Linked DNA regions of Rattus norvegicus. The protein of the gene in region 2 purifies or fractionates together with the protein of the main gene of each other region. This does not show direct contact. Links are inferred from orthologs where the notes say so. Each region holds a gene or a part of one and is shown on either strand. Other genes may lie near its edges. The genes, in order: Septin9, Hif1a, Stub1, Ubc, Sumo1, Lamp2 and Hsp90ab1.

Region 1 (4,620 bases), on a different chromosome or scaffold from region 2:
GACCCCCCCCACCCCAGGAGCACTCACTATAAACTGGCCCCTTCATGGCTCAACTTCCTAGCAGTCTCACCCTGAGATCTTCGCTGCTCACTGCCCGTGGCAGTCTGGTCAGAAGACTCTCCTCTTTCCCTGTCACAACCAGTTTTCTCCTTTGCCTCGAGGTCTTGTTTCCCCATTCCCAACTTCTCCCTGCTAGTCTCTGGAGACTTTTCCCGCCTGGATTCAGACTGCAAGCTTCTCTCCCATGGGCTGGGTCATAGTCTCTCCACATCCCTTTCTCCATTCAGCAGTCCAACCCCGACGTGTGCACCCTCTCTGCGCACCAACTCAACTCCGTATTCCTAGGACACTTAGATGTCACTTTTCAGGTTGTTCATCCAATGTATATAGCTTCCCTTGCATAAGTGCCACCATGAGCGTGCGCGCACACACACACACACACACACACACACACACACACACACACACTTCCATTAGTGACAGCCCAGGCTGTAATCTCTGGGCACTCAAAGACCTGACCCCATTCCCCAACTGAACTTTTCAGAGCACAGCAGGAAGACTGGCACAGGAGGGCAGCATGCTCAGGAGGCCCAGCATCCCTAAAACTGCCAACCTCTATACCAGGATGCTCTCAATGAGGCCATTGTCTTGGACTAAATTTGAGGGTCAAGAAGCTGGCTTGGGAGGCAGCCCAGTGAGGGCACGACACAGTGAGTAAGGAGTTGCACAGAGAAACTAAGGAGGCAGGGGCAGCTGGCCTCCACAATGCAAGGAACCAGCTGGCTAGACCCTCACAACCCCTAAACTTCTCCCTCCCCGACAAGACCTGGGCAGCATTCCCCAGAAACCCCATCCCCAACTCCTCAAGGGATGAAAGCAGACACCTGAATGCCCCTAGGTCCGGAGCAGAGAGTAAACACAGAGACCTGGAAAAGGCAGTGTGCTGCCCACCCCCCCACACCCTCACCCCCACTCCCCGGGCCCTCCACCTCCATATGGGTCAGACCTTGCAGAGAAGGGAACTGACTGGCTGACTTTCAGATTACACTTCCAGGAGAATGAAAGGCCCCCGGGGCAAAGAAGAGGTGCAGAGAGGGGCAACCCAAGGAGCTGGGACAGTCACCGGGGCATTCAGAAGGCACAAAAGCACAAAACAGGTCTGGGGGACCCCAGAATAAACATGGACTCCAAAAAGTCCTGGTGGATGGCAGCACAAGGACTCCCAAGCAGCAACTCTCTGCTTTGTATCGGCACAGAAAGTGCTAGAATCTAAAAATTGCTCCCACCACTGAGGTGACCAAGTTGGTATGATATTCCAGGCTACTCACCGCCTATATCTGTCAATACACAACGGATCGGCATCAGCACCCATTTCCCCCCAACTCACTCCCACCCCCGTCGCTGTGCACACACACCCTGACACACAGCTAGTCCCCTAACTCAAAGATAAAGTTGATCTCAGGTGGGCTCAGGACAAAATCCCTGTTTCCAGTCATGGGGCCTGGAGCACCCCCAACTGGTCACTTGTAGGGCTAGGGCTGGCTTGAAACCTGGCCGTCTTTAACTCTGTGGGGCCCTTCTTCCCTCCCTCACAGCCCACCAGAGGGCTCTGCCTAAGGCTGCCTGAGAGCCCCTCAAAGGGGCGGGGGCTCTGGGCCCGGCAGAGTCAGGCCCGCCCCTCGGAAACCCAGCCCCAGACGCGCGCGGGACACCATTGTGTAAGCCTCCCTTTCCACTGGCTTTATTTACTCCGGACGAGGACGCAGGACTAGGGGCCACGGCACCGGCAGTGGCAGTCACGAGGCCTCTGGAAAGTCCGCGCATGCAAGCCCAGGGAGGAGATGGCAGGCCCACCCTTGGAGGAAACGGCCCCCAAGTATCTCTGCACTTTGTAAACTCAGGACAAGAGGCGAAAGTACTGTCCTTGCGTGAGCACACAGGCCCCCTCTCTCCCAAAAGGCTCTTCTCTCTCAGATAGATAACGATGTCCCAGGCCTGGATCGGGGTGTTGGACATCCCACCCTGGACCCTGAGACTCGCCGGGCTGGGATCCCCTCGGATGCATGGGGCCTGCCGGCCGATCAACTTGGCAGCCCTTGCCAGCCCCGGGACTGGGCTCAGCCCCAACCCCGGAGATGGCGTGGGGGAGGGGAGGAGGTCCACCCTGAGGATTCGGCCTCCCACTGGATCTGAAGAGGGGAACTAACTCCCACGCTGGTGAGAGCTGAGGACGAGCACCAGAAGAAGAAAACCCACTGGTTTCCAGGGTGGAACTGTGCTCCCCCGGGTTGCTCCCAAGAAGTCAAGCCCGCCCTCGAGGAGCGACAGTCGCAGGGCAAACACAAACAAAAATAAAAAGATGAACGCCCCACAGGCAGCGTGAACCTGGGATCCCCGGGGGGTGCGTGGTCCCTAACTATATGGTCTATCATCTACAGGACCCCTTAATGGGGCTCTGCAAGTAGGCAACGTCTGGGACGCAGAGCCCTAGGGTGAGCAATCCGGGGTCTTGCCTCTCCTGTGTTCACCCCGTCCCGTCTCAGGCCCGCCTGGAGGCTCCTGCCCAGCTCGCCAAGCAACCCCTGGGTCGGGCACCCACCTTCAAAGTCTGAAATGATCCCGTCCAGCTGTGCGTTGACCGCGGGGTCGGACATGGTGGCTGGTGCGCAGGGAGTCCCGCGGAGACCGGGCCCTGCGCGCTCCCGCTCCCGGTGCCGAGCTGGCCGCACGAGCCCCTCGGCCCCCACGGTCGGCTGAATGAATGGGGGAGGAAGGCGGGCGCCGGCCCCTCCCCAAGCACCCGGGCCCCCGCCCCGCCCCCGCCTCCCGGCTGGATCAGGTTCCCGCACCCCAGCCGGCCTCCGCGACTCGGCACTGGCTGTTGCGCCCGCCTGTCAAAACTGGGCCTGGAGGGGTTGGAACCAGAGCTGCTTCTACAGGGACTGCAGAGTCCCAGGCACACGACCTAGGCTGGCCCCCCTTCTCCCTTCCTGGCGGGTGCCCAGGGGACCGCGACAGACACGGCCTCGGCCCCTCCCCCTCACGCCCCTCCGTGGCCAGATGTGGGCGGATGTAGAGGATGTGGAGGCCGGGCCACAGCAGCGGGCGGGCGCTGAGGGGGACAAGATTCCTCCCCTTCCCTGGGCGCAGTGCTCTTGCTGCCGGAGGTTTTATTTACGCAGCCAAAGTTCGTGAGCGCCTCCTTCGCGTAAGAGAACAGGGCCTGCAAGGGTTAAGCTGAAGCGCTAGGCTAGTCCGGAGGACCCTAGACGGTTGACTACAAAGACGAGGGTCCCAGGAGTTCCTTAGCATTCATACGTTGAGGACTGCTACCCTTGCACTCCGGGGGTCGCTGCGGCACCCTCTGGGTAGGTGCTACGGAAGGGATAGGGCAGGGAGAGGCGGCCCTTCAGAAGAATCATTGCAACGCCCCTCCCCCCTTCCACTGTATGGGCTTCCTGAGTACAGAGAGTGGACCACGACCTTCTCTCCAGAAGAGAGAAACCACAGTCCCTAACATCAGAAGGAAGGAAGAAGGCTGCTCCTGGGTCCTTTCCACATCAGTGGGTACCCACAGCCTGGCCTCTCTCTGCCCAAGTAGCCTTCACACTTCAGACATCTACTGGGCAAGCAGATAAAAACACTGGCTAGAAACAAAAAACACTAGTTACCAGGAAGGGTCCCCAGGGATGCGGGACGTGCTGAGGGGAGGGGGTGACGGGGGAAGGGTGTCTTGGGGAGAGGTTCACCACTTCCTGGATGAGCCAACAAGACTCCTGCCCGCTGGGCACTACCTTAGACCCAGGGTCTCTGTTCAGTCAGGGCTGCATGGATTCATAGCCAGGGACAGGGTCCTGCAGAGTGGGTAACTCATCCTTTGGTCCTCAGTGGTGCGTCCCTGAGCTGTCCTGGGTCTGGGTCTGCTCTCTCCCTACTCCAGCATTCTCAGTGTGGTAATTGAGGGAGGAAGCTGTGCTGAGACCTGCAGAGGTCGGTGAGGCTGCAGAGAAGGAGAGGAGGAGCCCGGGCTAGGTTTTGGTGAGACTTTTTTTTTTTTTTAAGCCTCTGGAATAGAGTCCTTCCTATTAGAAAATGTGCCCCTCCTCTCATGCCTCAGATGGTTTAAAAACTATTTCCAACCAAGCGAGCCTCTGGACATAGGAACTGTAAAACCACCACCATTCTAGATCGGATGCACCCGCATCCCATCTCTCTAGAAGCCTTACTTCCAGGAGCAGTGGGTACCCCACGTGGCTTCTGTCAGGGTCTCAGCCTGCCTGGCAGTCTGACCATCACCAGGTCACCTGCTGTCCCACGTCAGGGGATTTCAGGGTGCAATGTAAGCTGAGGCCCTTACCACAAAGCCCTGGGAAGATGCCGGGTCCCTGGGACAGCATCCAACCTGAGTGGGCGTTGCTCACTGGTGTGTTTTATAAAAGGCACCTGGAACACAGAGACACACCCGAGCGACTGTTCTCCCCAGGGCAAGTGCAGATTAGCAGAGACACAGCTCATTGTTGCTCAGACTGTATCCAGGCAGAGTAGCCAAGCGCACCCCAGTGTTCCAATGAGGAGCCCAGCCAAGGCGCAGGCTTCAAGGAGAGCTTCCACTCCACCCCT
Region 2 (4,017 bases):
GACTGATGTATGTGTTCACTGTTCTCTAGGGAGCAGGGTCAGAACTTCAGTTGGCTACACAATCTCTGTCTATAACTAACAGGCTATACAGCTTGCAGCAAAAAAGAACCAACAAGACAGCAGCAGAATACACACTACGACATTAGCATGTACAAGGAATACTGCCTAAGAAGATGCTCTTAGGCATCCTCTTAAGAGTGAGTGTATGCAAAGGCACAAGACATTCAAAACGAACATGGAACTCTTGGTTAGGAGTGTTTGGGACCATATCCAGATGGGTGATTCTCCTACCTCCTGATTAATTTGGTGAACTGAGAAGAGACTAGACAGTAAATACCTTTCCTCGACATTTTAATACATTAAGATTTAACTGCACATGACAGGCAGGCGTTCATATATAGTCCAGGTCAGCTTTCTTGTCTTATCTTCCCAAGTGTTAAGATCACAGACATACAATACCACACCCAGAATATACTATCTTTTGATAAATAAAAAATCTCCTTCCACCTATAATACTACAAGAAGCAACGGATGCATTTCTAATAAGAGAATGGCATGATCTGATCCTCACCTTGGGAAGCCTTTAGATACAAAGGATATACAGGTAAAAAGGCACAAATCTGTTGGCAGAAATGCAGCTTAAGAGTTTATGGTTGGGGCTGGGGATTTAGCTCAGTGGTAGAGCGCTTACCTAGGAAGCGCAAGGCCCTGGGTTCGGTCCCCAGCTCCGAAAAAAAGAACCAAAAAAAAAAAAAAAAAAAAAGAGTTTATGGTAACAATTCAGGCCAAAAGTAATGAAATAAAGAAGGAGCACAAGGTAGATACAATGGGAGAGACAGTCAAACAGTGCATTTATAATATTTACCACAAACTGCACTTAGTCAGGTTTCAACAATGCTATGTCAACAACATTAGGAATCACCAGAGGAGCAGCAACTTACGCTGTCTGGGAGCAGGAGAGTAGTTTAGTAGCAGAAGTATTCATTCCATTACTTAGAAAAGGATGTGGACGGAAACATTAAGCTGGCAATTACATAAGTAGTAACAGACTTGGGAAATGGTAACTAACGGGTGGAATGGAAGGTGCTCAAGGAGAGCATGTAGGCTAAAGGCCAACTGTTGTTGCCTACTCTACAGAAACTGTGTATCTTTAAAAGTTACTTTCTCAATTTAAGCAAAATTCCCTAAAACAAAAGAACTTCCTGGTTTTTGTGTTCACTGTTTGCACAGTACCAAGGCAAGAAGTCAGTGCCTTTTGCACATTGGACAAGTGGTCCACCTGACTTACATCCCTAGCCTTTAAAATGCTCTTTTGAGACAGCTGACTTGGAAATTACCTTCCTCCTGTCTCAGTCTCCCCATAGCGACATTACAGAAGTATACCACCAGATGTGGTCAAGAATTCATCTTAATGGATTTTGTATAATAGCTAAGTATAGTATTTATAGTAAAAAAGCTAATCTTACATTTTTGGATTCTAGTATGCATCTTCAATATTAAGCTTTATGAACACATCAATTAAGTTTTTACTACAGTGAGGTAAAAAAAATTAAATCTAAATTTTAAAAATATAAAATAGTTAATTTACCTTTCATCACAGTAAGAAAATTTCATATCGAGGCTGTGTCGACTGAGAAATGTCTTGCTGTCTAAAGGAATTTCAATGTTTGATGGATGAGGAATGGGTTCACAAATCAGCACCAAGCACGTCATAGGCGGTTTCTTGTAGCCACACTGCGGCTGGTTACTGCTGGTATCATACACATGAATGTGGCCTGTGCAGTGCAGCACCTGTGAGTAAGAAAATAAGCAGTTACCTTTTTAAAATGAAGAGGAGAGGAAAGCTGCAGAGATGGCATAGCAGTTAAACATTAAGAGATAATGAGGTATTCTTAAGAAGGCACTGTGAGGTAGGATGCTAGATGAGCCAGAGGTTTGAATGCTGACTGTTTTTCCAGAGGACCAAGATTTGATTCCTAGCACTCGCATGGCAGCTTACAAGCATCCTATTTCCAGAGGATCCGACACCTTCTTCTCATCTCTTAAGGCACCAGGCATGCATGCACTGATATATACATGGAGGCAAAACATCCATGCACATAAAATAGAAACTAGGGATCACTTATAATCCAGAATATGGATCTAATGCCCTCTTTTGGCCTCTGCAAACACATACACTTACATATATCCAATTAAAACACTAAAATACACACAGACAAACATACATACACACACATGTTGTTTTTAAAAAGAGGTATCTTTGTATTAAGTCTAGGCTATCTTTCCTTCTTCACTAATCTGGTCATTTCAGTTGATTTTGCTCTGGTAACTATGGTTCAACACTGAACAAGAAAATGAAACTGAATATTAGAATTTAAATACTAGTTGGTAAAGCCAACTAATAAGTTAGCTTGGTATAGAAATACCGTATTTCCAATAATCTATGTTTATATCTCAAATCAGCAAATTATTATACTATTTTGAATGGAGATTACATATACTAGATATAAATGCAAACATGCAAAAGGGAACAATTATACCTTTTCCTTCACAACTTCTATCTGTATGTATGTGTGCACGCTGTGTGTGTACCTGGTGCCTGAAGAGGTCAGAAGAGGATACTACATGTTCTGGAATTGGAGTTAGAGATGACTATGAGCTGACACAGGTTCTTGGGACCAAGGCCAGGTGCTTGGCAAACAAGTGCTCTTAATTACTAAGCCCTTTCTCCATTCCCCTCATAACTCTAAGCAACTCATTTGGAGGGGTTATGTTTATTTGTTTTGCTTTCTGAGTGGGGCTCGCTGTGTTCCCCTGGCTGGCCTGGAACTTGCTGTGTAGATAAGGCTGCCTTCAAATTTGTAGCAGCTGTTTTTCTGCTTCCCAAGTGCGAGGGCCAGCTAACTTTCAGCACTCCTGGTGAAAGCTCTTGATACTAGCATGTAAGTGTATAGGTTTATTTATCTATAAATCAAGCCATACTCAGTTTACTTACCTTCCACGTTGCTGACTTGATGTTCATCGTCCTCCCCCGGCTTGTTAGGGTACATTTCATTCTGAGAAAAAAGCTTCGCTGCGTGTTTTGTTCTTTCCCCTTTCTCACTGGGCCTAATGAAAGCAAGAAACAAAGTTTTTTTCTTTTTCTTTTTTTTTTTTTTGGAGCTGGGGAACAAACCCAGGGCCTTGCGCTTGCTAGGCAAGTGCTCTACCACTGAGCTAAATCCCCAACCCCAAGAAACAAAGTTTTAAGTCCTAGCTAAACATAGAAATCTGTTAAAATGAGAGCAGCAAAGTGAGGACCTCAGCATTAACACAAGGATTTGCTCCCTCTTCACCCACTCCCACACATGGTGGGTCTGACAGCTCCATCCAGTGAGAGCAGTTAAAGACTGCAGTGATTCCCTGAACTGTGGGAGGAGCCCACACTTTACATGATTAATTTACTCATCTGTGCTGGTGAGTTCGGTCCAAGTAATGAAAATTAAAAAATGGTATAAATTTACCCTGTTAAGTGTGCTGTCGGTATATAAGGATGTCCCCCTAGAAAGAACCTGAATAAATACTTCAATGTCTTTTACCAATTGTGATAACTCAATTTTGAATAAGCAGCAATGTGTTTATAGAACTTTAAAAATGCCAGCTTACCTTTTGTAAGTGAATAGCATATGTGTGTATGAAAACCAGGCAAAATTCTATCAGAAGTTACAGAAATCAGCCATAATGGTCCATGTCAGCACTCTCAGCACTAGGGAGGCTGAAGGAGGAGGATGGAAAATTCTAGGCCAACTTGAGCTACATGAGACCTTGTTTACGATTTAAGATTACAAAATTAGGGGCTGGGAATGTAGTTTAATGGACAAGTACTTCCTTAGTACATACATGTGGGTCTAGGTTTGATCCCCAGAACCACAAAAAGAAAAAGTCACAGAAATAAAGCAGAGAAAAATCAACTCAAGTCTAATTTAGTCTTAATGCCAATCCTCATAACTAAAAAATTAAATTACATTTAGATGGCTC
Region 3 (4,545 bases), on a different chromosome or scaffold from region 2:
GTAGTGGACCTGCCTTTCCAGGAATATGTGGAGCAGCTGCTGCACCCCCAGGACCCCGAATCTCTAGGCAATGGTGAGCCAGACCCAGGCAGCAGTGGGAGTGGGACACTTTGGAGCCCACTGTTGCCAGTACCCCTGCCTGTCATCTTCTCTGCTGGCAGACACCCTGTACTTTTTCGGAGATAACAACTTTACTGAGTGGGCCCCACTCTTCCAACATTACCGTCCACCTCCATTTCGTCTACTGGGAACCACCCCTGCTTATAGCTTTGGAATTGCAGGTAGGTGCTCCTTTCAAACAGATTTGGGGGAAGCCCGTATATATTTTGTTCATCAGCTATTCACAACTGACCCCACAGGAGCTGGATCTGGGGTACCCTTCCACTGGCATGGGCCTGGTTTCTCAGAGGTTATCTATGGTCGGAAGGTCAGTGCAAGGGTGGGGCATGAATTTGGTGTTTGTAGTCCATAGCACATGAGAGTGACCTTAACATTCCTGCCTCCAGCGCTGGTTCCTCTACCCTCCTGAGAAGACACCTGAGTTCCACCCTAACAAGACCACGTTGGCCTGGCTCCTGGAAATATACCCATCTCTAGCCCCATCAGCTCGGCCTCTAGAATGTACCATCCAGGCTGGTGAAGTCAGTAGCTGGTAGGTGGGGGTTGGGCTAACCCAAAAACTAGGGAATCAGACTATTTTTCCGTGCCCCTTCTCCCAGGCGCTGTACTTTCCTGATCGGTGGTGGCATGCCACACTCAATCTGGACACCAGTGTCTTCATATCCACTTTCCTTGGCTAGCCAACAAGCGACTGGCAAGCCCACTGCACCAGCACATGCCAATGTAGTGCTCACAGACTTTATTACAGGACAGTGGCAGCAGCAGCAGCAACCCACCCTCACCAGCTCTCCAGCCCAGAAGGGAGACAAGGGAGGCTCATGGCCCAGCAAGGGATATGCTGAGAAGGGGAGCAGTTCAGAACCCATCATCAGGACCGATGGGGGCAGGCCCAGGGACACAAACTATATACAGGGACTGGAGCTTCTGCCTCCAGACCCTCCTGGGCCAGGGTGCCAGGCAGGACATGGGGTATCAGTAGTCCTCTACCCAGCCATTCTCAGAGATGAAAGCATCAATGACTTCCTTCATGGCTAAGTTGGGGATGAGCTGTTCCTGGGTCAGAGGGCTCCGGGTCACAGGATCGAAATGGCCCACGCGCTGCAACGACAGAGTCAAGAGTATTCAATGGCCTGAGTGTCCCCTGATCCCAGTCCCGAGACCACAGGCCCTCCTTACCTGCAGGTGCTCCTCAATGTCCTTGCGGTCATAGGTGATGCCACTGGGTGTAATGCAGGGTTCCCGCATCAGCTCAAAGCTGATCTTGCCACACAAGTAGTCAGGGATATCTCGCTTCTGCAGCACAAGAGGGAAATGTCTGCAACTGGAAAGGAAGTCACCATACCAGAGCCTGCCCATGAGCTTCAAGGCTCCGTCCTTACCTTTCTTTTCTCATCCACCTGAGAGAAGAGCTCATTCATGTCCGCCATGTATTTATCCTGCAGAGTTGAGCGCCATGTGTGGGCAACTCCTGTCTCCTCCACACAGACACACACACTCTGTCCACCGGGGCACTCATGTCATGCATGGGCCAACAGAGCCACCATAGGCTGGGGCACTTCTCATGCCACACACAAAAACACACACACAACGACCCACATGTGGACTAGGGGCACCCTCACGTGCTTGGCCTCAATGCAGGCCTGCTGGGCCCTGATGTGGCCATCATCCTCATCACCCTCGTGGTTCCGCTGACACTCTTCCAGTTCCCTGAGGGTCAAGAAAAAGCCAGCTGGTGATGGCCCCAACAGGGAAATGACAGATCCCTTCCCATCTCAGGCCTCTTTCCTCCCGGGCTTCCCATGTACCGGCTGCTGTCCTTTAATAAACACTTGCACTGTTGACTCGGTGTTAACTGTTGGGGGCGGGACCCACCTCTCTCGCTCAGCAGCAATGAGCCTGGTGAGATAGGAGTGCAGCTCACTCTCCTGGTGGATGCGCCGTTCCTCGATACTGTTCCAGCGCTTCTTCTTAGCAATGCGAAGGGCACTAGGAATATCATCCCCAAAGTTGAGTCGCTGCTCCTTGGCCAAACTATAGGCTGGGGGAGTGGACACTTTAGGTTACACTTGTCAACAATCCTGGCCCCAAAGGTGCCCACAATCTGGCATCTTGTCAGCCCACCTCGCTGCAGATTGGCAATGGCCTCATCATAACTCTCCATCTCTAGCTGGCACTGCCCCAGGAAGAAGTGCGCCTTCACAGACTGCCCATCCAGCTCCAGGGCTCTCCGGCAGTCAGCAAGTGCCTGTTCAGGCTGCTGCATCTTCAGATAGCACAGGGCCCGGTTGGTGTAGTACACTGCCACAAGTGGGTTCCGGGTCTGGGAACCAAGATCAGGTGACAAAGAATGTGGGCTCATCTGATCCCCTCTCTAATAGCAAGCTGAAAGCCAATGATCCGGACAATTCTCCAGCATTGGGGGCCCATGGGTGGAAGAGAGGAACTGGAGATTTCCGAGTTATCAGAGCTCTGGATTCTAGCCATGCTCTCTTGCCTCCAACTGTTTTTGAGAAAAATCCCAGAACCCCTCCACCAGCTTTAGGCTTGGGAGCCTCAAGGGGCAAGAATTTCTGGTGTCATCCTTAGCTTGCCTCAATCAAGCATCCCGCCCGCCAGTCCCCAGTCAATCTGCCCTGGATTCGGGAACAGCAATCCGGGTCTAGGCTGCCAGAAATCGTCCGGGAATCACAGAACTGGGAGGCACATCGGGCCCCGCCCCCGCCCCCGCCCCCCGCACTCACGATGGCGCGGCCGTAGCAGGCCGCCGCCTCCGGGTACTTGCGGCCCACGAAGAGCCGGTTTCCCTGCTCCTTGAGCTCTTGCGCACTCGGGCTCTTATCAGGGCTGCCGCCGCCACCAGTGCCCAGCCGCGCGCCGCCCTCCTTTTCCTCCTTGCCCTTCATGGCGCCGCGCGGCACGGCTTGGGCTCCGCGCCCGGCCACCTAGATCTCGCAGCCCGCGCAGCTATCAGCTCCGCCCGGTCGGCGATCCGCCACCGGAACTTCCGGTGTGGGGCGGGGCTGGCATGGGGACACGTGAGCAAAGGCGGAGCCTCGCGGATTGAGCGGGTTCGCTTAGCCCGGAGAAGCTACCGCTGCGCTCTCTACCGGCCCCGCCCTACAGTAACTAGGACCTACCCTCAATATTCAGACCAAGGCTCCGCCCATTGGCAGTCAAGCCCCACCCTCCGGCCCACGCCACGCGAACGTGGCAGCGGTCCGTGCTGGAGAAGTGGCGCTCCGAGGGCCGGTCACTAGGCCCAGGTCCTAGCGCGCCACCGGGGCGCACGCGGGCTCATGCGGCAGCCTGGGAACGTCTAGACCGCTGGTAGGACGGCGGAATTGAGGGAAGGAGAGAGGCCCGCAGGTCAGACCACCCTCGAGAGGCTTCCTCGGGAATCGGGAGAAGCTGCCTGCGGCCATTACTGGCTGAGAAACAAGCACGTGACGCGTTGACTCGAAAGGACCTGCTGCGGTTGCTATAGAGGTAGCTGCGGGTCCGCGGCTGGACGCTCCCCTTCTGCGGTCATGGGGCGGAGCTTCTTCAAGGGCGGTGCCAGCAGGTTTCCGTGGAGAGAGCCTGCACCAAGACCCTTTGACCCCAGGTCTGTAGATGAGGCATTTTTAGCCGCTGCTGCATCAGCTGTTGGCCGCTAACATCCCCCACCCGGGACTTGGAGAAGCAAAACTCGGCTTTCTGCCGATCTGTGCGCCGCAGTCAAACTTCGCTGCGTGGTTTCTGCCACTGCCTCGAGTGAGTAGGGAGCATCTTTGCACAAGTTGGGTGGGGGCTCTAGGAACTCAAAAAAAAAATGTCCCCAGAACCTCCTTGTCACTCTTTGCAGTGGCTACAGTTCCTGGCTTGCTAACGCTGCAGCATACACTCAAGTACTACTTGCTGTTTCTAGCCCAGGTGCAAGAGCTCACTGCATTTCTGAGCAGGGGCCTGAGGGGTCACCCAGGACCCCATCATGGTTCCGATGGTTAGTAACTCGACCCCAGAACTCTTGTAGATCTCTAGTGCCTTAGAGCTGTCTGTAGACGCTTCATCTTGTGAAGAGAGCACTGCAAACTTGGACTATGGGCAGATGTATGCCCAGACCTGCTGCCTGAACTTCACCCCAACTGGTTCTCCCATAAGGACTATAGACCTGCCAAGAATTACAGGACCCAGGCCAAGTGAACCTGGCTCTGTCTCGGGCTTGCCTTTGGAAGGGAGGCTGCAAGAACCGGGATTGGAAGCTCTTGGAGCACAATAAACGACTGCTGAACTTGGACTGACCCGGAAGTCCACAGTCTCTTCCCAGGGGCCCCACCTCCTGTGGATTCCGTCCCTGGCCAGGAGTGAAGCCACCACCTCATGCAGGTGCAGAGCTTCAGGGGAGAGAGAGGAAGCACAGACCCTGGAGGGGGGGCGTCTCATACA
Region 4 (4,288 bases), on a different chromosome or scaffold from region 2:
TTGCCTTGACATTTTCAATGGTGTCACTGGGCTCGACCTCCAGGGTGATGGTCTTGCCTGTCAGGGTCTTCACAAAGATCTGCATGCCCCCTCTGAGGCGAAGGACCAGGTGCAAGGTGGACTCCTTCTGGATGTTGTAGTCTGACAGGGTGCGGCCATCTTCCAGCTGCTTGCCTGCAAAGATCAGCCTCTGCTGGTCAGGGGGGATGCCCTCCTTGTCCTGGATCTTTGCCTTGACATTTTCAATGGTGTCACTGGGCTCGACCTCCAGGGTGATGGTCTTGCCTGTCAGGGTCTTCACAAAGATCTGCATGCCCCCTCTGAGGCGAAGGACCAGGTGCAGGGTGGACTCCTTCTGGATGTTGTAATCTGACAGGGTGCGGCCATCTTCCAGCTGCTTGCCTGCAAAGATCAGCCTCTGCTGGTCAGGGGGGATGCCCTCCTTGTCCTGGATCTTTGCCTTGACATTTTCAATGGTGTCACTGGGCTCGACCTCCAGGGTGATGGTCTTGCCTGTCAGGGTCTTCACAAAGATCTGCATGCCCCCTCTGAGGCGAAGGACCAGGTGCAGGGTGGACTCCTTCTGGATGTTGTAGTCTGACAGGGTGCGGCCATCTTCCAGCTGCTTGCCTGCAAAGATCAGCCTCTGCTGGTCAGGGGGGATGCCCTCCTTGTCCTGGATCTTTGCCTTGACATTTTCAATGGTGTCACTGGGCTCGACCTCCAGGGTGATGGTCTTGCCTGTCAGGGTCTTCACAAAGATCTGCATGCCCCCTCTGAGGCGAAGGACCAGGTGCAAGGTGGACTCCTTCTGGATGTTGTAGTCTGACAGGGTGCGGCCATCTTCCAGCTGCTTGCCTGCAAAGATCAGCCTCTGCTGGTCAGGGGGGATGCCCTCCTTGTCCTGGATCTTTGCCTTGACATTTTCAATGGTGTCACTGGGCTCGACCTCCAGGGTGATGGTCTTACCAGTTAAGGTTTTCACAAAGATCTGCATTGTCTATGGAAAAAAAAACAAAAAACAAAAAACCAAAAAACAGGTCAGGAATGACACAAATTCTTTAGAGTGCCACCAACCGTTGGATCTGTGAGGTGGCTAGTAGTTTAGTCTAAATAGCTACACAGACTGTTTTGAATTTTACCCCCTAAAACCAACAAGAAAATAAAAGTCTTGATGGAACAAAGTTATGAATATTAGGCATTGTCTATTACCAAGTTGGCAGGGTGGAGCGTTCAGTACGGAACTGCTGAAAGTCAGTCCCTGACTATTTGCAGTTTGGAGAAAAGCCTGACCCACATTTCACCTTGGGGGAGGGGGGTTTAGGAGGACCCACTCCAAAGAAGTCAGAAACTCAAGAGCTTAGAAGGCAATAGTTGGAAATCCCGGATTCAGGTCCCGACTGGTAGATAGAGCCAGTTACTACTACAAAACTGAACTATGTTCATATCTTTCCTCCCAGCACTGGGGACACTGAGGTGGGCAGATTTCGTGAATTGGGAGGTCAGCCTGAGACAGTGAGATCCTGCCTCAACTCTCCTTCCCCCAAGCTTTTGTCTGAACAATTAAACAGTAGTTTACTCTTACTCTTATCCTCTTAACCTCTTACTTTCACCCCATCTGTCCCTTCTCTCCCCATTCTCCTCCCTGCTCTCTCTCCACATGTTCCGACCAGCTTTACTCCCTCCTCAACTCCCCTTCCCATGCCCTGAATAAACTCTATTAAAAAAAAAAGTAGTCTGGGGTAAGTGGCACTGGCCTTGGACCTCATCACATGGGTGGTAGAGGCAGAGATTTTTTTAAAGTTTAAAACCCTTGTCAGGCTGGTAAGATGACTCAGTGATTAATAGCACTGACTGCTCTTCCAGAGGTCCCGAGTTCAATTCCCGGCAACCATATGGTGGCTAACAACCATTTGTAATGAGATCTGATCACACCTCTTCTGGTGTGTCTGAAGAAATAAATCTTTTTTTTTTTTGGTTCTTTTTTTCCGGAGCTGGGGACCGAACCCAGGGCCTTGCGCTTCCTAGGCAAGCGCTCTACCACTGAGCTAAATCCCCAACCCCTGAAGAAATAAATCTTAAAAAAAAAAACACCCTTGTCTAATAAATAGTTTCCGCAGCCATATCCGTGTAGCGAGACAAGGAAAGACTCAATGTAAGTCAGGCTCACGTTCCCCCTCTGAATTTCCGGTTCCTGTTTACTCTGGAGAGGCTACCCGAGGCCGAGACCCAAACCCGGTCCTACAACTGAGGGAAAGCTAAAGCCATCGTCACTATACACTGTGAGACCACACAAACCGCGACGTCACAGGGGCGATAGGCTAGGCTGGACCGCCACCCTCCCCCTCCCTTCCCAATCGCACTCCTGTATTTAGCAACCGACGAATTCCGGATAACCGACATCTCCCTCCCGTCTAATACCCACAGTTCTCACATCAGAGGCTCCTACAGCGCGCCAACCGAATTCAGTTCCCAACCCAAGCCTCTGACGTTCCCGGCTTAACCGGCGGCAAGCGGCCTCGCGGGCCTGCTTCCCCCAACCTGGTCCAGCGCGTCAGGACCGCGCGTCTTCCCCCTCAGGCTTCCATTTGGCCGCCATCTTGCCGCCCGGTCCTCGGCCTCAGGACAGCAGCCGTCCTCGCGGGCCACGGAAACCAAACGTCCGGGCCGCGGGCTGTCTCTCGCCCCCTCCCGCCTCCCCGCCCCCGCCGGGTGTGGCGGCTTTCTCCTCACCAGCGGTGTTGGCTGCAGTCCTCACAAAAGAGTAGAGACGGAACTGGCGGTCTCCACGGAACTAGCTGCGGGACGCGAGGCGTCTCTTTATATAGTCATCGGGAGCCCCGCCCACCCCTGGATTCCTCCGCGGAAATGCGGTTGGGGACTACTTTTTAATGCCCGGTCCAATCTCTGCAATGGAAGCGACAGGCTAAAACCATTAAGATCGCTTCATGGGGTTGTTCCACTGCGAAGGCCAGAGAGTGAGGGGCTTTGTGTGGAGGGGCAGGACTGCGACCTTGCGCGACCCCGCGGAGGGATCAGCGCCTGTGACGTGATCGGCGCTAAAACCCGGCAGGGATCACTGCAGCCGGAGCGGACCTCGGCGCAGGCGCACTGTGGCTAAGCGAGCCGGAGACCCACCAACTACCCCCCACCCCCTCCGTCAAGGGTCCCAGTCGCCTCTTTCTGTTAGGGGGACCTAGGGCTTTGGCTCTTGTTACACTGATATTCCATTGGTGGCCTCGGCTCCTAAGTTCCCTCACCTCGAGTCGGTCGTCACTGTGCCCAGCCCTCTTTGTTTTGGCACGGTGACAGGATGGATGACTGTGCAAATCTCATAACAAGGGAAATGACAACGGTTTTTTTTATTTTTTATAAAAAAAATGGGGGGGGGGGGGATCTCTCCCCAGTTTGGGAAAACGAATCTGAATTCGTCAAGAAAAGCAGTCAGTCCTCACAGTTCTTGAAAACTGTTGGCATTAGATCTGAAGCCCAGTGGGCACTAGATCTTTCCAGATTCTTCCTAAGTCTGTTTATGTCTGGTGTCCTTGGATTCGAGAAGGTTCTGTTTTCTGTTCGATTGTCACTAAGGAAAGGTCAAAATATCAAAATGTTGTTCATATTCTGAGACTGAACCCATCGAAATCCTATTTTTTTAATTTTTGTTGTTCAGACAGGGTTTCTCTGTATAGCCCTGGCTGTCCTGGAATAGGCTTCGTAGACCGGGCTGGTCTCAAGTTTACAGAGATCCTTCTGCCTCTGCCTCTAAGTGCTGGTCTACAGGGCTACACAGTGAAACCTCGTCTTGAAAAAAACCAAAACCAAACAAAAACCCACACACACACACAAAAAGTACACGTTTAGTACAATGTTCAGATTACAGCAAACATATACCCCACTTGTAAAATTCAGCCTATTCAGGTTTTTGAAATGTAAGGCCTGAGACCTTAGAAGGTAAGAATTGAATCCCTAGGGTAGAGAGATGGCTCAGCAGTAAGAGCAGGTCTTCTTCCAGAGTTCAATACTGAGCAACCCTGTCAGGCAGCTAGCTTACAAAGGCCTTTGACTCCAAAGCTTCTCAAGGCTTCAAGGAGGTCCAATGTCCCTAGGGGCACTCACATACATGTAGCATGCACACACACAGACACACACACTATTAAATGCCTTTAATCTCAACCTTTTTCTTTTTTGAGATTTTTTTTTGAGACAGGGTCTCCATATGTAGTAGCCCTGGCTACCTTGGGACTCATGACATAGATCAATCAGGCTGGACTCTTAACTCGTAATGATC
Region 5 (4,593 bases), on a different chromosome or scaffold from region 2:
CAGGTTCTAGAAGTGGTATTCCCAACTGGGTGGATTTTGTTTTGTTTTTATTATACTAAAGGTACAAGTTGCTTTTGATGATTTAGTATAAAAAGGAAAACAGTTTTCACTAAACTATAAGGAACGGGAAATAATGGTTCAAATTAATCTTATCATTTTGATATGCTTCTGGTTTTAAAGAAATGTGAAATTAGGCTAAACAAATTTCTATTAATGGTTATAGAATGATCCTCATTCTTTGGGAAATCATGTACCAATGATGGGACCTATAGTACCTTCTTTTTAAAAAAACTGCATAATTCAGTGAATTCTCAAGGTTTAGGCATTAGATTGTGATCTATTTTAGATATAAAGATCCACTCATTTTAAACTGAAATTATGGCAAGACACAGTGGCATACACATACACCTGTAATCCCAGGACTCAGGAAAGTAAAAACAGAAGGATCACTGCCAGCCTAGATACACAGTGAGAGCATCTCAAAACAAAGAGAAAAGCTGAAACTATTACTCAATGTGACTATTTTAAGCACAAGATACAAGCTTCTAAGAGTTGCCTCAGAAAATAAAATGTGCATGGGTACTGGAGGGCATCTTGTATTCAAGTCAAGCACATTATCGAACCCCCCAACTTGAAAAAGTACCCTCTAAGGCCACCTTCTGAAGACAGCTCAGTCTCAGGCTGTTGCTATTACACACAGTACTTGGGGATTCCTACTCTCACTTATAAACCTCTTACAGGCAAGGATTCACTTAACCGTTTTCTCCAAATCTTTAACACTCAATACTGAACTTGTTCTGGGAACTAAGATTAATGTTATCCATCAGCCTAAAGCAACAGCTCCCAAATCCATTATCACACTCTCAATGATTTAAAAACCTATCAACCCAGCTGTCGTGGTGGTATACACTCTGGGAGGCAGAGGCAAGGCAAGGAAAATCTGAGGCCAATCTGATCTACATAGCAAGTTCCAGGACAACTAAGGCTACACAGAGAAACCCTTGACTTGAACTAAATAAACCCCTAAAATGTTAGATACATTTTTATTACTTTTTTTAAAGACAAAAATTTTAAGAGTAGCAGCACTATTTCCTATGCAAATTGCTTTAATGTGTAGCTCAATTTAAAAAAAAAGACTTGTTTTGCCAACTGTGGTGGTAGACATCTTTAATCCCAGCACTCAGGAAACAGACACAGGAGAAACTGAGTTCCAGGCCAGGAAAAGCTACATAGTTAAGACCCTGCCTCAAAAAAAAAGATTTGTTCTACTTTTTTGTCATGTTTCTAAAATTTTCATTGAACATCCATGATAGAATGAGAAACACACACACACACACACACACACACACACACACCAAGTGTGGCAGCATAACTCTGTAATCCCAGCTACTCTGCAAGGCTGAGGGAGTCCAAGTTCAAAGACAAGTGTGTTACAGTCCAACCTAGACAACTTAATGAAATGAAGTAAAAGGAGAAATGAGGGTTTAGTGCCTGCCTGGCAAGCACATGTGGGAGGCCCTAGGTCCAGCACCCAAAGACCCCAAGTGAGGTGAGAGAGTCCTAAGCAAGCATAGAGTGACTTTGCAGACTCCCTGAAACCTTGTGTCCTAGGGTCCTCTTTTCTTTCTTCATATCCTCACATAATGTAAGTTCAAACTAGAGCAAAACTAATCCTAAAACTTAAAACTCTTTCTGTATGTTGCCCTCTCATCTGGCTAACATGCTTTAAAAATAGAAGTCTGATGAAGCATAAGCGTTTACACAGCTGATCTCTCCTCTCTGGTAACTAAGTAAACAACTGTCATAAACAAATTATGGGCTTCATAAAGTCATTTCTAGCCCAAAAGATTAATAATCCAGATTATTAATAAGTAAATCCATCCCACAACTAATTTACAGTGTAGATAGGCTATAAAAATAGAACCACTATGGCCAGTCTGGGGTGGTTGCAAGCCTTTCATCCTCAGGAAACAGACAGGCGGATCTCTATAAACTGGAGGCCAGCCTCGTCTACAGAGGGAGTTCCAGGACAACCAGGCTACACAGAAAACCAACGTCTCAAAAAAAAAAAAAAAAAAAAAACCAACAAAAAAAATTTTAAAAAAGCTCAACTACAATGTAAAGTAGAATGAAAAAAGTTTGCTGAATTGTAACTAAAGAAGTAAAAATTAAAAAAAAAAAAAATACTCTGAAAATTAAGTCATCTGACCAAACAAAAGGAAAGCCAGACAAAAACCGTATGGATGGCATGTTGGTGGTGGCACTCTACGCAGTTTGTTGTTTCTCGGTTATTCTGAGCGCTCCTACAACTGGAGAGTTGATGGACCAATCCCGAGTAAGAAATGGAAAGTACAGAGAAAGAGTCGACCGCTCCGCACCCCCGGATGGAAAAATGACTCTGAAGTGGGCAAAGACGGACTGACCCTCCAGGCAAACACAACTGAAAAGCAGCGTCTCCTGGGTTCCCAGTCACCCCAAACAAGGATCCCTGCCCGCCCCCCACTCTCCGGGACCAAGAACCCAAAGTAGAATCGAGCTGCTTTTCAGGGCCACCTAGCCTCCCAGGCAGGGATTCTCTCCCGTTACATAACTGGGCCTAGGGCCTTGTTTCTGCCATCGGTCCTCTGAAAGGGAAACGGTCGTTTTCCCCCAGGTTGCTCTCACGGACAAGGGAGCGGGCCTGGGCCCCCAGCGAGCCCGAGAGAAACCTGGGAGCAGTCGAAAGAGACCCGGCGCTGGATGGCGTGGGGGTAGAGGCCTCCGAAAGGGCCGCGGAGGGTGCGTAAAACCCGGAGACCCTCGATCCCAGGCGGCTCGGCCCGACTCTGCCAGGCGCTCGGCGTCCCTCGCGGCCCCCTCCCCACCGGCAGCCCCCTCCCCCAACATCACCCCCTCCCCCCGCGCCCCATTCCAGGGGCTCAGCCAGCAGCCGACGGCCCTGAGCCCCAAGGCCGTGGCCCGGTACCTGGTCAGACATGGTGTCGGTGGATTCACCCGGGGGTCTCCGCACCACAGCGGCCTCCGGCAGGCAGAACCGCACTCTGAGGTTTACAAATCCGTCTCTTCTCCACAGCACAACACCGCGGCTGCAGGGACTTCCGCTACGTCTTGCGTCACTTCCGCAGCGCGCAGAGGAGAGTTTGGGAAGACGGGAAAGGGAAGCGGGAAAACGCCTTAGGGAATGCGGGAGATGAAATCGTCAAGGTTAAGCTACTTTCCTGGAGCAAGAGAACCGCTAGGTCTTCAGCGGGGCCGGGAAAACCGGCCCGCTGCCTCAGGCCTTAGGGAGACCAGCGCTTTGCCTGCAGGCTGTGTGTGTTTGGGGTCAAACTGACCGCTTAGGCTCCTCCCTGTTGGACATCTTGTACGCTTCTGAGGCCGGAACCAACTCTTCCTGAATATAGTGAATTCCCTGTATAATATCTTTATGGCCCCCTCTTGCTTGCTGCTGCCACATTCATGACTTTGATTACTAGAAATACAATAGTAACAAGTTTTCATTTTCTACAAGAGAGAAAGTGAAAGCGATTTGGAAGCCACTAGCATGTCAGAGTGAATGAAGTTAACCACAACGAGCTGAGTTATGGTGGCGTACTCCGAGTGATAGAGGCAAGCAGATCTCTGTGAGTTTGAGGCCATCTTGGTCTACAAAGTGAGTTCCGGGACAGCCAAGGCTACATGGAAGAACCCTGTGGGAGTCTAGGGGTGGGGCATGAAGAAACAACCCTTCCGGTCACATCTTTGGTTTTGTTTTGTGTTTTGAGGCAGGGTCTCACTAAGTAGCTCTGGCTATTATAGAACATTGCTAAGTCAACCAGACTGGCCTCCTCTTGCCTCTGCCTCCCCAGTGCTGAGATTAAAGACCTGGGCCACCACATCTCCAGCTCTAGAACAAAGTCTTGGTGGCTATAGATGACCAAAATGCTATTGAAAGTTGAAGTTGCAAGAGCTCCCTCCAGCTCATAAACTAGTTGCCTTACATCATAGACCTAAACATCTTCCTTTGAATACAGTGACCCTCTTGCACAAACATTCAGGGAAGATTAAGGTTATACTAAGTAAAGGGGGGAAAAATGAAAACTAAAGTAAGTCAAAAACCTTCACAGTACAAGACATTAATAAAATAATCTTTTCTGTAATTAGTAATGAGCCGATTATAAGTGGCCCAGCAATCAAAGAGCATTGGCTACTCTTCCAGAGGACTCAGGTTTGATTCCCAGCACCCGTATATGCATTCAAAAATGCCTATAACTCTAGTCCCAGAGAATCTGATATGTTTTTCAGCACTGCACCAGGCCTAAATGTGGTTCATAGACACACATTCGGACAGAAACACTCATAAAAATTAAAAAATTATTAACAATTACTAATGAAAATATGAACATTCACATCAAAAGAAGGAATTTGAATTCCTATTTCATTGCACATACAAAATTAAAATGTTTCAACGATGTTTCTGTAAGACTATCTTAGGGTTTCTATTGCTGCAAAGAAACACTATGACCAAAAAGCATATTGAGGAGCAAAGAGATTATTTGGCTTACAGGACAGGAACTCAAACGGTTGGCACCTGGAGGCAGGAGCCAATGCAGA
Region 6 (3,539 bases), on a different chromosome or scaffold from region 2:
GATTGCTGTTAGCTTACATTTCATAAGTACCAGTCTGATGACAACACTAAATAGATTTTAATGCTCCAGAGATCAACAAGATGAGGTAGAGAAACACAACACAATCTGTCCTAATTAGTTCATAGAATCCGCTATCCTTCAGTGCTAACCAGGCATCCAAAGAGAAAGAGAGCGAGGCAAGTGGTTAACTGTTTGAATCCTTTCAGTCTATATTGCTGAAAAAGAAACATTTTTCTTAAAACCCCAGGATGGGAATGGTCAAATGCCTGTGACCTTAGCATTTGGCCAGCCAAAGCAGTTGGATCTGAGCTTGAAGGCAGCCTGGACTACATAGTAACTACCAGATCAGCCAGAGCTACAGAAAGACTCTTTCACATCACCAACCACCACCACCCCCTCCCTAAAAAAACCCCTTCTAATTAAGAAGTCAGTCCAAGCTCTGTTATAGCCTCCTGAGCCTGTTTTTAACCTATGAAAAATCACAAGTTTGAGAATCAATTTCATATTTAACTTGAACTCAAAAGGCATCAAGTCATAATCTTTTCAAAAATGTAATACTTAGCTGGGCAGTGACAGTACATGCCTTAATTTTAGCATTTGGGAGACAGAGGCAGGTGGATCTCTGCCAAGTCCAAGGCCAACCTGGTCTACAGAGTGACTTCCAGGACAACAAGGGCCACACAGAGAATCCCTGTTTCAAAAACAAACAAACAAACAAATAAAAGCCCTCTGGTTCCTCTTAAGATCTTATTTTTTAAAAAATGTGGATGGCCCTAAGGGGTCTATTTCACCCCCCTAAAAAGCAAGTCTGGCATATCTGATAGGTATCTTAAGTATATGCAAAGGCACAGTAGTGGTGAGTTTAAATTAGGACAGCTGTTACAAATTGAAACAGAACACCGGTGGTGAAGCAGTGTTTATTAATTCCAGTAAGATACAACTCCATATATCTTTTCTTATAACGGTCATGTTAATAAGTTTAAGGCATTTAGGTTAGGATCCCAATTTGGCCAAAGCTTCTTAAGACAGACCTTAAAACATCACACACGTGTATTCATTTTCTCCTTTTTTTAAAGCCAGTCTGCATTTTAAGCAGATCAGAGAATGATTTTTTTGTTTTTTGTTTTTTTGTTGTTTTTTGTTTTTTTTTTCAAAAAAAGCCTTATCTCAAATTGTGGGGACTGATTTCCAAATAAAAGTTCCAAGGAGTCTGTCTTAAGTAGCAAAGTGTTTCATAAACTGACAGGTAAGACAACTTTGTTATTTGTATGTATTTTGTAATATATTCAATCAGATTGTAGGTGCTAAAATTGCTCATATCCAGTATGATGGCGCTTGAGACCAATAAAATAAGCCAGCAACACTAGAATAAGTACTCCTCCCAGGGCTGCTCCCACCGCTATGGGCACAAGGAAGTTGTCTTCATCTGCACTGCAGTCTTGAGCTGGATGTGGAGAAAGGACAATTGAGAACAGACACAATGGCATTTCATATGTCTCAATTTTAAGTTAAACTGACAGCCCTTCCCTCATATACAGAATTTTACATCAAAATAACAAGTCATTGGCATTCATTATCAGTAGTGACATATGATATCTAATGAGTTGACCCTCAAAAGTTTTTTTTTAAATCAACAACAAAAACACCCCCAAAACAACAAAAAACCCAGTAATTTCATGCAGTTCCCCTTCATAAAAAAGCAGTCATTGGGGGGAAATACATATAGTGATCACACACTCCCAGGCTTCTTCTAGAAATTTGTTTGCCCTTGATCAGCCTAGAACTTTAAGAGCCAACTATCACATTGGATCCTGAATGTTAGAGAGCACTAACTCAGCAAATAAACAGCTGTATAAAGCAGATACAGAGCTCAATGCATAATCCTATTATTGAGCTCACTTAATAATAAGGAAAGATAATCTGGCCCTGTTGGCATTAACTGCTGGCTTCATCACGTGTATGTAGTCGAGGAAAAAAGTAGTATTTATCACTACTGGTAGGAATGTTTGGTTTAGCAAACATGGAAATCAGTATCAAGTTTCGAAAGAAAGAAAGAGAGAGAGAGAGAGGGGGGGGGAGAGAGAGAGAAGGGAGGGAGGGAGGGATCTGGAAAAGGGACAAGTCAGGAAGGGAGCACGTTGATAGAAATAGGAGGGAAATACAAAGTTGCAGGAGAGTTCTGATGAGAAGACAATATATAAGTATATCAAATTTTCAAAGAAACAATTTAAAAATTAAAAAGAGAAATGCCACATATACATAGTGATCAAGGAATTTCACTACTGCTTATGTATCCAGAGAATATAATTTAGTATATAAAAACAAAACAAAAACCTTAATAACAGGATTACCATATAAGGTAGCTATCCCACTCCTGAGTAGGTATCCAATAAAGGAAATCAAAGTCAGAGATTCTTGTACATTCATATTTACTACAGCACTAGTCACAAGATGTATTAAGACCTAACTCAGATGTCCAACAAGTAAATAGATAAGGAAACTGGATGAATATATATATATATATACATATACATATATATATGAATTTTATGCAGCCATTAAAAAAAGTGCAATTGTGTCATTTGCTGGAAAAACTGCAACTGAAGATCATTATCTTAACCAAAATAAGCCAGACTCAGTAAAATATTACTTTTGATATGCAGATTTAAATGTGTGTGTAAATAGAAAGGAAAGGAGAACACATGAGGGGTGAAAAAGCTTCTAAAGAGGAAGGAAATGGTAAGATGTGTGGTCTATAGGTAAAGGCTTATCGATGCCATGGAAGCAGGAGAGGCTATTTGTCAAGAAGACTCAGCAAGAGAGGAACAGGAAGGACAGGAAGGTACTGGGGAAGAAGAAATGAGAACAGCATATAATGCAATCTATGTATGTATGGAATGCTATAATAAAACACAGTATGATCACTTAGATCACTAGTGTGAGAGTCAAACACAGAAATCAGTAGTTAGAAATTCAAGATGTGCTATGGTGGGACAAGCAATACCCAAAGTATCATGGAAATATTTCAGGGACCTCGTCAACTCAGTTTAGTTAAGTAAGACACTTTGGAAAGGCAGCATTTGATGTGAGTTTTTAAGACAAAGAACTAACCATTAATTGTAATTGACTATGTAGATAATGGGAGGGCACTGCAGGTGTAAGAAACAGTGCAGAGAGCCAGTGGGGGGGGGGTGTGCACACTTTTAATCCTAACACTCAGGAGGTAGAGGCAGGTGGATCTCTGAGTTTGAGGCCAGCCTGATCTACAGAGTGAGTTCCAGGACAGTCAGGGCTATCCAGAGAAACCCTGTAGAGAAAAACAAAACAAAACAAAACAGTAATAACAAATATAAGCAAACCAAAAACAGTGCAGACAAAAACGTGGACAGTAAGAAAACATAAAAACTCCAGGAGCAATGCCAAGGAAGGTGACATAGAACAATGGATGGAAGCCAGAAAAAGTGTATTTAAGACCAGCTCACAAAAGTACACTGTTCGGTGGTTCTACCTTATCGCACTGGAAAAACCAACAGTAACCG
Region 7 (3,390 bases), on a different chromosome or scaffold from region 2:
CACTGTGGTGGGGGGACTGGGAGTAGCTGTGGTCTTTACTGCCCTCCTCCTCAGAGTCTATGCCCGGGGCCGGAAGCAGCGGGGAAAGAAGGCAGTGCCCACTGAGCCTGCAGTGCAGAAGGTGTGAATGAGGACCTCCATTGCTCTCATCTGCTGAGGCACTGGCTCAAGGGCAAATTATTTCTCAGTGTCTCAGCACACAGCAGAGGGTTGGAGTCCTGGAGGCAGCCTCTTTGCCTTGCCTTAAGAGCCCCACTTCACCAAGTGACAGCTGTGGGTAATGCAGCGTTCCTCCCCGCTACCTGAGATCTTGACTTAGCTGGTGGCCAGGCAAACCAGCAGCAGGCTCATCCCCTTCTAACACCCACCCCTTGAGGCTGCCAGGCACCAGCTGGGAAGTAAATTGTTTACAGGCCATGCAGTTACCCCTAGGGGCTAGTGAGAATGGTGCTGTGCCAGAAGGGACAAAGGACTCCCCCCAGCCCAGTTGGGGCCCCCAGTGTTCCTTGAGCAAGTTTTGGTTACTTGGAAATGTCACCTTTTGCTCTATTTGATTAAACTGCAGCAGTGATTTTTGGACCTGTGTTTTGGTTCTGAGTTCAGAAGCACAAGTGCCTCTCATCATCTTCCAACTCAGGGAGCCCAGAGTCCTGAGTGTTACTTTACAAGGAGAGCAGGACTGTATAAAACTGCATCATCTTTATTTTGCATACTTTTAATTTCAGAACAAAATAAAACAAACAAAAAAACACAATACACAACACCCAACCCTGCTATTCTGTGGGAGGGGATCTTCCTGCCTTAAGGCACAAGGACAGGATAGAAGAGATTCTTGTAGACATGAGCAGAGAGCCAGGTGGGTCAGGGCCAGTCAAGGCTGTTGGGGGAGCCACAGGGATACTATACAGAGGGCGGGGGCTTCCCAGGAGCCTTTAATCCACTTCTTCCATGCGAGAGGCATCCTCATCACCCTCCAGTGGGGGGATCTCATCGGGAACAGCAGCACTGGGCTCTTCTGCAGTGACCTCATCTTCATCAATGCCTGAGAAAGAAAAACATGAGATCTAAGCCACAAAGCATTAAGTCTGTCCAAGGATCCAGCCAGTTCAACAATTTGTCACAAGGTGCTTGCTCACAAGGCTGACTTGACTCACCCAGGCCTAGTTTAATCATGCGGTAGATGCGGTTGGAGTGGGTTTGGGGGTCCTCAAGTGAGAAGCCAGAGGAGAGCAGAGCAGTCTCAAACAGCAGCACCACCAGGTCTTTGACAGCTTTGTCGTTTTTGTCTGCCTCAGCCTTCTGCCGCAGAGTCTCCACAATGGGGTGGTCAGGGTTGATCTCTAGGTGTTTCTTGGCCATCATGTAGCCCATTGTCGAGTTGTCCCGCAGTGCCTGGGCCTTCATAATCCGTTCCATGTTGGCTGTCCAGCCGTAGGTGCTGGTCACAATGCAGCAGGGGGAAGACACAAGCCTATTGGAGATAGTCACCTGTGGACAATCAAGGACAATGACAATTGTTGGCCATCATGGAACTGCTATGGAAAAAGTACCTTGGGTTTTTTTGTCAAGAATAGCAGATGACGGGGTTGGGGATTTAGCTCAGTGGTAGAGCGCTTGCCTAGGAAGTGCAAGGCCCTGGGTTCGGTCCTCAGCTCCGAAAAAAAGAACAAAAATAATAAAAAAAAAAGAATAGCAGATGACTAACCCCCTACCCCTACATGCTGTAGAGGCTGAAGGTAGCTTGAGTACTGCAGAGATTCAAGGATAACCTGGGCAACAGTAAGGTCTTTTCTTGCATGCATACATTAGGTGGAATAACTGTTAGGAGTTAAACAGTATTAAATATCCCTGAATACTGCTAGTGCCTGGTCTATGCTGTAATAGCAGCAGACTAAATCCAAGGGAAGACTCACTTTTTCAACCTTCTTGTCCAAGATCTCCTTCATGAGCTTGCAGAGATTCTCAAACTTTGCCTTGCTCTCCTCCATTTTTTTCTTCTCTTCCTCATCCTCTGGTAGCTCCAGGCCCTCCTTGGTCACGGAGACCAGGCTCTTGCCATCGAACTCCTTGAGCTGCTGTACGCAGTACTCATCAATGGGCTCAGTCATGTATACCACCTCAAAGCCCCGTTTCCGCACACGCTCCACGAAGGCAGAGTTGGCCACCTGCTCTTTGCTCTCACCTATGGGATTAAACAGGACTCGATGGCCAAAAGGCCTTCACGCCTCCACTTCCCCTCCCCAATTCCACAAGACAGCTTTGATCAGAACCAAGCTCCAACATACCAGTGATATAGTAGATGGACTTCTGTGTCTCCTTCATGCGAGACACATACTCTGACAGGGAAGTCATCTCATCTCCAGACTGAGAGGTATGGTAGCGAAGGAGCTCAGAGAGGCGGCGACGGTTAGTGGAATCCTCATGGATTCCAAGCTTTAAAGGGTAGGGCAACAGAAAGTTCAACTATGAGCTGGGAAAAACACCAGCCTAAATACAAAGTAATGGAGAGAGCACTTGTTCATCTTACCTTTAAATTCTTAGAGAATGCCTCATAAAATTTCTTGTAGTTCTCTTTGTCTTCAGCCAACTCAGAGAAGAGCTCAAGGCACTTCTTCACAATGTTTTTGCGGATGACTTTCAGGATCTTGCTCTGCTGGAGCATTTCTCGGGAGATGTTCAGAGGCAGGTCCTCGGAATCAACCACACCACGGATGAAGTCTACATTGAACCAGACAGAGCACAGGGAACAGCTGGATCAGAGTTAGTCCAAGGACTCTGGATCAGTATCTCAGCTGTATTCTGAAGGTCTAATATAGGTTTGCCTGTATTGCACATCTTAAACCCAGCAAATACTCACTGAGGTACTCAGGTATCAGCTCATCACAGCTGTCCATGATGAACACACGACGGACATACAATTTGATGTTGTTCTTCTTCTTCTTGTTCTCAAAGAGGTCAAAGGGAGCTCGCCGGGGAATGAAGAGCAATGCCCTGAATTCCAACTGCCCTTCTACAGAGAAGTGCTGAAATAAACCCAGTAGTACATTTTAGGACAGAACTGCTTCAAGCCCCAGTATTAAACTTTTGGCACCGAACACTCACTGTCAGTGCCACATTCCTAACAGCCAACACCAAGTAAGCCCAGAATGCTAGTAGCAAGGAGCACCCGTGCCAATCAGCTCCCAGTATACTTAGTCACGTGGTTCTGTGGCTCTCAGCTTGGTACCAACCAGTTAAGCAAGTTGTCCCTTACCACCTCCAGCATTCTATGTACCCCTCCTTACACAACATGTAAGGCTCCTCACCTTGACTGCCAAGTGGTCTTCCCAGTCATTGGTGAGGCTCTTGTAGAATTCACCATATTCCTCTTGAGTGATGTCATCAGGATTT

The links.
Region 1: the proteins of Hif1a (region 2) and Septin9 purify together in Homo sapiens (affinity purification with western blotting; 4 studies listed by BioGRID and IntAct, with this or other methods). This does not show direct contact. The link is inferred for Rattus norvegicus from reciprocal best matches to the Homo sapiens genes HIF1A and SEPTIN9.
Region 3: the proteins of Hif1a (region 2) and Stub1 purify together in Homo sapiens (affinity purification with western blotting; 3 studies listed by BioGRID, with this or other methods). This does not show direct contact. The link is inferred for Rattus norvegicus from reciprocal best matches to the Homo sapiens genes HIF1A and STUB1.
Region 4: the proteins of Hif1a (region 2) and Ubc purify together in Homo sapiens (affinity purification with western blotting; 11 studies listed by BioGRID). This does not show direct contact. The link is inferred for Rattus norvegicus from reciprocal best matches to the Homo sapiens genes HIF1A and UBC.
Region 5: the proteins of Hif1a (region 2) and Sumo1 purify together in Homo sapiens (co-immunoprecipitation; 3 studies listed by BioGRID and IntAct, with this or other methods). This does not show direct contact. The link is inferred for Rattus norvegicus from reciprocal best matches to the Homo sapiens genes HIF1A and SUMO1.
Region 6: the proteins of Hif1a (region 2) and Lamp2 purify together in Homo sapiens (affinity purification with western blotting; 3 studies listed by BioGRID). This does not show direct contact. The link is inferred for Rattus norvegicus from reciprocal best matches to the Homo sapiens genes HIF1A and LAMP2.
Region 7: the proteins of Hif1a (region 2) and Hsp90ab1 purify together in Homo sapiens (affinity purification with western blotting; 3 studies listed by BioGRID). This does not show direct contact. The link is inferred for Rattus norvegicus from reciprocal best matches to the Homo sapiens genes HIF1A and HSP90AB1.

Annotation. Positions count from the first base shown.
Region 1 is NC_086028.1:102,974,588-102,979,207, reverse strand, and holds the start of Septin9 (septin-9), read right to left. Parts: upstream 2,913-4,620; 5' UTR 2,655-2,912; coding exon 2,600-2,654; intron 1-2,599.
Region 2 is NC_086024.1:98,387,026-98,391,042, reverse strand, and holds part of Hif1a (hypoxia-inducible factor 1-alpha), read right to left. Parts: exon of another isoform or gene 3,109-4,017; coding exon 2,996-3,108; exon of another isoform or gene 1,792-2,995; coding exon 1,589-1,791; exon of another isoform or gene 1-1,588.
Region 3 is NC_086028.1:15,354,434-15,358,978, forward strand, and holds Stub1 (E3 ubiquitin-protein ligase CHIP), read right to left. Parts: upstream 3,127-4,545; 5' UTR 3,024-3,126; coding exon 2,862-3,023; intron 2,441-2,861; coding exon 2,242-2,440; intron 2,159-2,241; coding exon 1,993-2,158; intron 1,960-1,992; exon of another isoform or gene 1,828-1,959; coding exon 1,740-1,827; exon of another isoform or gene 1,557-1,739; coding exon 1,500-1,556; exon of another isoform or gene 1,414-1,499; coding exon 1,297-1,413; exon of another isoform or gene 1,219-1,296; coding exon 1,093-1,218; 3' UTR 845-1,092; downstream 1-844. Other genes in the region: Jmjd8 (jmjC domain-containing protein 8), read left to right, coding at 5-73, 162-281, 360-427, 507-641, 720-800. UniProt on the Homo sapiens protein: E3 ubiquitin-protein ligase which targets misfolded chaperone substrates towards proteasomal degradation.
Region 4 is NC_086030.1:36,899,012-36,903,299, reverse strand, and holds the start of Ubc (polyubiquitin-C), read right to left. Parts: upstream 2,801-4,288; 5' UTR 2,734-2,800; exon of another isoform or gene 2,171-2,733; intron 1,001-2,170; 5' UTR 998-1,000; coding exon 1-997.
Region 5 is NC_086027.1:68,599,786-68,604,378, forward strand, and holds the start of Sumo1 (small ubiquitin-related modifier 1), read right to left. Parts: upstream 3,019-4,593; 5' UTR 2,978-3,018; coding exon 2,966-2,977; intron 1-2,965. UniProt on the Homo sapiens protein: Ubiquitin-like protein that can be covalently attached to proteins as a monomer or a lysine-linked polymer.
Region 6 is NC_086039.1:122,043,229-122,046,767, forward strand, and holds the end of Lamp2 (lysosome-associated membrane glycoprotein 2 precursor), read right to left. Parts: intron 1,445-3,539; coding exon 1,305-1,444; 3' UTR 902-1,304; downstream 1-901. UniProt on the Homo sapiens protein: Lysosomal membrane glycoprotein which plays an important role in lysosome biogenesis, lysosomal pH regulation and autophagy.
Region 7 is NC_086027.1:22,933,220-22,936,609, reverse strand, and holds the end of Hsp90ab1 (heat shock protein HSP 90-beta), read right to left. Parts: coding exon 3,306-3,390; intron 3,024-3,305; coding exon 2,858-3,023; intron 2,719-2,857; coding exon 2,528-2,718; intron 2,434-2,527; coding exon 2,286-2,433; intron 2,183-2,285; coding exon 1,914-2,182; intron 1,489-1,913; coding exon 1,155-1,488; coding exon of another isoform or gene 1,043-1,154; coding exon 933-1,042; 3' UTR 815-932; downstream 1-814. Other genes in the region: Slc35b2 (adenosine 3'-phospho 5'-phosphosulfate transporter 1 precursor), read left to right, coding at 1-127. UniProt on the Homo sapiens protein: Molecular chaperone that promotes the maturation, structural maintenance and proper regulation of specific target proteins involved for instance in cell cycle control and signal transduction. Undergoes a functional cycle linked to its ATPase activity.